Callithrix jacchus: one gene and its partner. Each later gene encodes a partner of the first gene's protein in a complex. Links are inferred from orthologs where the notes say so. Each region holds a gene or a part of one and is shown on either strand. Other genes may lie near its edges.

Region 1 (3,746 bases):
TCGCTTTTTTTTTTTTTTTTTGAGACAGTCTCGCTCTGTTGCCCAGGCTGGAGTGCAGTGGCACAATCTCGGCTCACTGCAACTTCTGCCCCCTGGGTTCAAGCGATTCTCCTGCCTCAGCCTCACGAGTAGCTGGGACTATAGGCAAGTGCCACCACGTCTGGCTAATTTATGGAATTGTCTTTAAGCATTGAGAGATTCTGCTTCAGGATTAGACAGCCCAGTGTGCCTAGGCTTCCTAAAGCATACCCCACCTCCTGCCATGCGTGCACAGGGACACACAAAATCAAGGAGCACTGTTAGGTTGGCTAAGCTCCACAGTAGCGCTCTGCCCTACACTCCTGCTGGGTTTTATTAACACGCCAAATTTAATTAGGAAGTGCAAACTTTATGAGACCTAAGAATTATGAGGCCTGAACTTCAAGGTCACGGTGAATTAGACTTTCCTAGAAGACAGAAGGCTACAAATGGAAGGAGCGGAACGCTGGGGTGGGAGGGAGGGATCTTGGGGTCACCTTGCTAGGTTAACTTTCACCAAGTCATATCCTCATCTGCAAATGGAAGATGGCCTCTTTAAAGCTTTAAAGTAACTCTAAAGAGGGGGTTTGAGGGGAAGGTGCTGAGGCTAGGAAACTGGGAACTGGGTAAATGCAAGCCACAGTCTGCCCACAGTTGTATTCTTTTTTTTTGAGACAGGGTCTCGCTCTGTTGCCCAGGCTGGAGTGCAGTGGCGCCATCAGAGCTCACCGCACCTTGACCTCCTGCGCTCAATCCACCCTCCCACCTAAGCCTCCTAAGTGGCTGGGTCTACATGGGTGAGCCACTATGCCTAGCTAATTTCATTTGATTTTTTGCAGAGATGGGGTTTTGCCCTGTCGTCCAGGCTGAATTAAAGCCACTTTTTGATTGGCTGGGGCACAAGGGTTACCCTAAAGCTTGGCCTTGGAGTGGGGGAGGGGGAAGAATTCAGAAACATCTGTCTTCAGAGGGTGGAAGCTGTCACCACAGGAGCCATTCATTTGTTTTCTCTAGATGGCCTCTGGTTGTGATGACAACCCCTTATTGTCTAATTCTAGTCCTCAACCACCAGGGCACTAGCCCAGGCAGACAGCGTCACTCCTGCTCTGAAGACAGCAGGGGTCAGAGAGGGGTAGTGCACGTTCAAGGGCCAGCAGCAACTAGGAACCAGACATGATGATTTCCAGTTAATTCTCTCTACTTTACATCTGGCATATAACTGTTTCATAAAGTGCAGCTCCTCGAGGGGGGCAAGAATGGAATTGGCACATTATCATGAGATTTAGGGAGATAACACGATTCTGTTGAAGTCACACATAAAGCAAAGGCCATTCTCTATGTTTTCTTGACTTTGAATAAACTCCTTGACTTAGTGACCGTTCCCTCACTATCCCCATCCCTAGCAGGGCTGCAGAGCTCACAGGCCACTCTGATCGGTGTTACTCCCAGGTCTAACCTTTTCATCGTGGGCCAGGACTGCTTCTGTGGCGCTGAGAGAGGTCAACTCTACTTCTGTGGACATCACAACTGAGACATCACAACAAGCCAATTTTGTTCAACCACGATGTGGGCTGGCCCTACGGGAAAAGCTGTTCTAAATTGACAACCGGTGTCCTGGGCCCTTTGATAGGGAAGTCAAGGCTGTCTGTGGCAGTGGCTGATTTAGTTTCTCATTGAGGGTTTTATCTTGCATCTTCTTGGGGATGACAGGTCCCAGGGCAGGCAGCACTGTCACTTGCCATTGCTGTCATCCTGGAGCAGGATAAAAGGCAGGCAGGGAAAAGGTCCTGACTCCTCTTATCATTTCTTCTAGAGGAAAATACACTTATGGGGGAAAACATGGCAAGGAGAGGGACTCAACCTCTGGATGCTCCAGAGAAGAGGAGGAATGGTGTGAGTTAGAGTCCCGGCTCCAAGGTGCATTAACTGAGTTTGTCATCAGCCAGGGGTGTGTGGTGCTAACTCTCTAGAAGAGCTAAGCCTCGAGTTTTGGGGTGAGACACAGCCAGGATTAAATTCCATTAAATCCCATTCTCACCACCTGCAGACTGTGTGGCCTTGGATAAGTCCCACGCCCTCCCTGAGCCTCAAATTACTCATCTGTGAGACGGGCTCATAACAGCACTTAAAACACCGAAACTAGAGTGTGGAAATGCACGTGAAGGACTTGGCACATAGCAATTGCTCATTAAGGCGACATGTCACCGTCTTTTTCCCACAGCCAATTCCTCATGACTCAGTTTCCACCTCTGTAAGACAGGAACCGCAAAAGAACCGCTTCGAGGGCTGCTGCTAGGACAGACCGAAAGGACGGGTGCGAAGACGCCTGCCCAGGACATAACACTCCCTAACGAGCGGGCTGAGGATGGGAGCCTCAGTCACCCCATCTGCAAAATGGGCACCTGGTCTCCCCCGCCACGGCCCATGAACCCCGAAACGGCGGTGCAGGCGGCTGCTCTTCTCCCTTCGACCCTCTCAGAGCCCTCGGCCCGCCCAGCAGGGTAGATTTCTCAGCCCCAGCCCCTCAGGGGCGCGCCCAGCCCGGGCCTCCGGCGCCCCTAGCCACTCCCGGATCCCGCTACCTATGGTGGAGATAAACGTGGAGTTGAAGGCGTCCTCGGAGAAGCGGAACAGGACACAGGTCTTCCCCACCCCCGAGTCCCCGATCAGCAGCAGCTTGAACAGGTAATCGTAGGTCTTCGCCATATTACACTCTCTCCCCGACAGGAAGTGCAGCTAGCGCCTATCCACTGGCCACCAGCCCCGTCCATCAGCGCCGAGCCCGCCCCTTATTGGCTCCAGGCCCGCAGCGTGTCACCGCGGCCGACACTCGCCCCTGAGTCCCGCCCGCCGCGGGGAGACCTGGGGAGGGGGCGAGCGTAGCGCGGAGCCGGAAGCAGCCCGAGCGTACCTCCCATTGGCCAGCACTGATATGAGGACGGGCTCTGATTGACCAGCAGTAAAGAGTCGAGGGGCTTCAAAGGGGGACGAGACGGGGGCGTGGCATTATGTGGCCCCTGCCTCCACCACAGACTCGGCGGCCCGGCCCCGCCCCAAAATGGGAGAGGGAAAGCAGCGAGCAGCGCCAACGGCTCGCGCGCCGACAGTCTGTGGGCGGGGCTTGGGGTGCGTGCGCACGCGCACCCGGAGGTCCGTTAGGCGCCAGCAGAGGGCGCACGCGCATAGTTGGGGAGGGTATCTCTGGGTCTCGCCCTCACAATTCGCGCAGCCTCAGTAGGCGCCGAAGCGAGCGCGGGAAAGGACTGAAGAGCTTTTTTATACGTCTGTGGTCTGCCGGGGCAGCGTGAGCCGAGGGAGGAAGGAGAGAGGAAGCGCTGTATAATCGAAAAGTGACCCCCGAGGCGAGATCCGAGGTCTCGGCTGTGGCTTGGCAACCTGCTTAGAGATACCCAAGCTCTCCGCCACCTGAGCGGCGTCACCGCCACGAGCTGTGCCCCAAGGCGCGCGCCGTCCCCCTCAGGGCCCGCCCTCGGCCGCCTTAGGGGTTGTCCGGGCCAGCCTTGCGGGTTAGGGCAGTGAGGATGCTGGGTCCTATCTAGGGTCGGCGGTTCTGTGTCTGGTGGTCCTCTCAACATTGAAAAAACAGACCGTCGCGGTGGCTTCCGCCTGTGATCATAGCGCTTCTGGAGGCCGAGGCGGAGGATCGCTTGAGGCCAGGAGATTGAGGCTCCACTAGCCTTGATTGCCCCACTGCACTCCAGCCTGGG
Region 2 (3,646 bases), on another chromosome or scaffold:
CGCTCAGACTACTTCTCATGAACTCACCATTCCAAACGATTTGATTGGCTGCATAATCGGGCGTCAGGGCGCCAAAATCAATGAGATCCGTCAGATGTCTGGGGCGCAGATCAAAATTGCGAACCCAGTGGAAGGATCTACTGATAGGCAGGTTACCATCACTGGATCTGCTGCCAGCATTAGCCTGGCTCAATATCTAATCAATGTCAGGCTTTCCTTGGTGACGGGTGGCATGGGGAGCAGCTATAACAATGCAGATTCATCCATAATCCCTTTCTGCTGTTCACCACCACCCATGATCCATCTGTGTAGTTTCTGAACAGTCAGCGATTCCAGGTTTTAAATAGTTTGTAAATTTTCAGTTTCTACACACTTTATCATCCACTCGTGATTTTTTAATTAAAGCATTTTAATTCCTTTCTCTGTTCAGCTGTTGATGCTGAGATCCATATTTAGTTTTATAAGCTTCTCCCTGGTTTTTTTTTTTTTATTTTGGCTCATGAATTTTTCTGTTTGTCATGGAAATGTAAGAGTGGAATATTAATACATTTCAGTTTAGTTCTGTAATGTCAGGAATTTTTCAAAAAAATTAAAAGATGGACTGGAGCTTTTTCTTTGTGAATAGAAAAAAAAAAAAAAAAGAAAAGAAATACATGGCCCGGCACGGTGGCTCACGCCTGTAATCCCAGCACTTTGGGAGGCCGAGGCAGGTAGATCAAGAGGTCAAGAGATCGAGACCATCCTGGTCAACACGGTGAAACCCTGTCTCTACTAAAATGCAAAAAATTGGCTGGGCATGGTGGCACGTGCCTGTAATCCCAGCTACTCAGGAGGCTGAGGCAGGAGAATTGCCTGAACCCAGGAGGCGGAGGTTGCGATGAGCTGAGATCGCGCCATTGCACTCCAGCCTGGGTAACAAGAGCGAAACTCCATCTCAAAAAAAAAAAATACAAAATGAGCTGAGCATGGTGGTGCACTGTAGTCCCAGCTACTCGAGAGGCTGAGGCAGGAGAATCACTTGAACCTGGGAGGCAGAGGTTGCAGTTGAGCTGAGATCGCCCCACTGCACCCCAGCCTGGCGATAGAGCAAGAGTCCGTCTCAAAAATAAATAAATAAGTAAAGACACATAATTCAGTCCACAGCAAGGGGACACCACGAGGGCTAATTAACCAGTGGGCACTGCAACAGAACACCTAAGTGGATGTAATGAGTTGTACTGTGCCATAATTGAAATATTTCATTTTGGTCAGGCTTCTTATGGTTGCAAGTGACAAAAGTCCAATTTAAACTAGCTTAAACACAAAAGGAAACTTTTTGGTAACATCACTGGGTAGGGGCTAGGTGCAATGGCTAGCTCAAGCCTGTAATCTCAGCACTTTGGGAAGGCCAAGGTGGGAGGATCACTTGAGGCCAAAAATTCGAGACCAGCCTTGGCAACATAGTGAGACCCTATGTTTACAAAAATTAAACAATAAGCTGGCATGATGGCGCATGCCTATGATCTTAGCTACTTGGGAGACTGAGGTGGGAGGATCACTGGAGCCCAGGAATTCAGTTACAGTGAGCGATGATCATGCCACTGCACTACAACCTGAGTGACAGTAAGACCCTATCTCAAAAAAAAAGGAAGGCCAGAAACAGTGCCTCAGCACTTGGGGAATCTGAGGCAGGCAGGTCGCTTGAGGTGGTGAGGAGTTTGAGACCAGCCTGGCCAACATGTTGAAACTCCGTCTCTACTAAAAATACAAAAATTAGCAAGACAATCTCAGCTACTTGGGAGGCTGAGGCACGAGAATCGCTTGAGCCTGGGAAGCAGAGGTTGCAGTGAGCTGGGATGGGGCCACTGCACTCCAGCATGGCAGGCAGAGCGTGACTCCCTCTCAAAAAAAAAAAAAAAACGGAAATAGACCAACCTGGCCAACACAGTGAAACCTCGTCTCTACTAAAAATACAAAAATTAGCTGGGCATGGTGGTGCAGGCCTGTAATCCCAGCTTCTTGGGAGGCTGAGGCAGGAGAATTGCTTGAACCCAGGAGGTTGAGGTTGCAGTGAGCCAAGATCATGCCAATGCACTCAGGCCTGGGCAACAGAGCCAGACTCCATCTCAAAAAAAAAAAGGAAATAAAAAGAAAGAAATTTACAGTGGTTGGAATCAGGGACTTGGTGCCTCTCTTTCTCCTCTTTGGCTTTCTTTGCTCGTGCGCTCATTAGTTTGCATTACAGATAAGCTTTCTCTAAATCTTAGAAACAGACTTCTGGCAATTCCAGTGGAGTATGAGGAAACCACACTTTTTCTCATTTTCTACATCAAGTCCAGGGAAATACTCTGGCCCTCCTTGAGCCAGATCTCAATATTATCTGACTATAATATCAATCAATATAAATCTAGCTCTTATCACCATCTGACTTACGATTTATACTTTTATTTTACTTATTGCTTTATTTATTGACTGTTTCCTTCCCCCACCGGAATATAAATTACATGAGAGAAGATATTAGTTTTGTTTTATTCAGAGACAAAATATTTATTAACCACAGCAGGTAGCTTAATAAATATTTGTTGAATGTTACGCACTATGTATTATCTTACCTAATCTCTCGATCCTTTGAGGTAGGGACTATTATTAGACTCATTTTACAGGTTAGGAAACCAAGGCTTAAGTTAGAGAATGTATACGCAGTCATATTCCTAGAAGGTTGAGAAGGTTGAGAAGCTTGAAGTAGTAGCCAATGCAATTAGGTAAGAGAAAGAAATAAGAGGCATCACATTGGAAAGGTAGAGGGAAGATTCTCATTTGAAACAGAATTTCTCTGACTCTAGTGCTTTCAACCATAATATTATTACTATAATCATAATCATCATCATTAAGATCCTTTATTTTCAGAGCTGCACAGATAAGAGGTCTGTAATAAAGGCCAGGTGCAGTGGCTCACACCTATAATCCCAGCACTTTGGGAGGCTGAGGCAGATGGATCACTTGAGGTCAGGAGTTTGAGACTAGCCTGGCCAACATGGTGAAACCTGATTTCTACTAAAAATACAAAGATTAGCCAGGCATGGTGGGGGGTGCCTGTCGTCCCACCTATTCAGGAGACCAAGGCAGGAGAATCGTTTGAACCTGGGAAGCGGAAGCTGAGTGAGCCGAGATCACACTATGCATTCCAGACTGAGCAACAGAGCAAGACTCCAACTCAAAAAAAAAAAAAAAAAAAAAAGATCTGTAATAAAATAACTCATTGAATTTTTGCCCCATGTTTCTCAGTGGCCTGATTTCACCAAGAGAAGGCCCAGAAGGAAGAACAGAAAAAGATGCTGTAGTTACCAGGGCCAACAATGCCAGCAGGAGCAAGGAGGAGAAGACAATCATAAAGAAGCTGTAAGTGTCACCCTGCTGCCCCCGGTCCCACTAAATAATAACTCAAGGAAGCAGTTGGGGCGAGAGGAGGCTGTCCAGCTGTCCAGGGCAGGCAGGCCCTCCCCTCTCCCAGTTGTGGTGCTGCAGCTCATGGGAAAACTCAACGCCAGTGTATTATAATGATATCTGCCAGGCAGTAGCTTAGGCACTTGGCATATATGAATTCATCGAATTATCACAGTGACCCTGCAAAGTAGATGCTATTTTACAGATGGAGAAATACATACTG

Evidence for each region. Proteins that work in one complex are often made in the same cells at the same time.
Region 2: the proteins of RAB8A (region 1) and RILPL2 are in contact, whole or in part, in a crystal structure (PDB 6SQ2), measured with the Homo sapiens proteins. The link is inferred for Callithrix jacchus from reciprocal best matches to the Homo sapiens genes RAB8A and RILPL2. Residues at the interface, in NP_005361.2 of Homo sapiens: Ile41, Gly42, Ile43, Asp44, Phe45, Lys46, Ile47, Lys58, Trp62, Phe70, Ile73, Tyr77; in NP_659495.1 of Homo sapiens: Leu135, Leu138, Arg139, Leu142, Gln143, Arg145, Asn146, Lys149, Ser150, Leu153, Glu157.

What each region holds. Positions count from the first base shown.
Region 1 is NC_133523.1:14,726,884-14,730,629, reverse strand, and holds the start of RAB8A (ras-related protein Rab-8A), read right to left. Parts: upstream 2,739-3,746; 5' UTR 2,725-2,738; coding exon 2,601-2,724; intron 1-2,600. UniProt on the Homo sapiens protein: The small GTPases Rab are key regulators of intracellular membrane trafficking, from the formation of transport vesicles to their fusion with membranes.
Region 2 is NC_133510.1:126,609,996-126,613,641, reverse strand, and holds part of RILPL2 (RILP-like protein 2), read left to right. Parts: exon of another isoform or gene 1-606; intron 607-3,264; coding exon 3,265-3,378; intron 3,379-3,646. UniProt on the Homo sapiens protein: Involved in cell shape and neuronal morphogenesis, positively regulating the establishment and maintenance of dendritic spines. Plays a role in cellular protein transport, including protein transport away from primary cilia.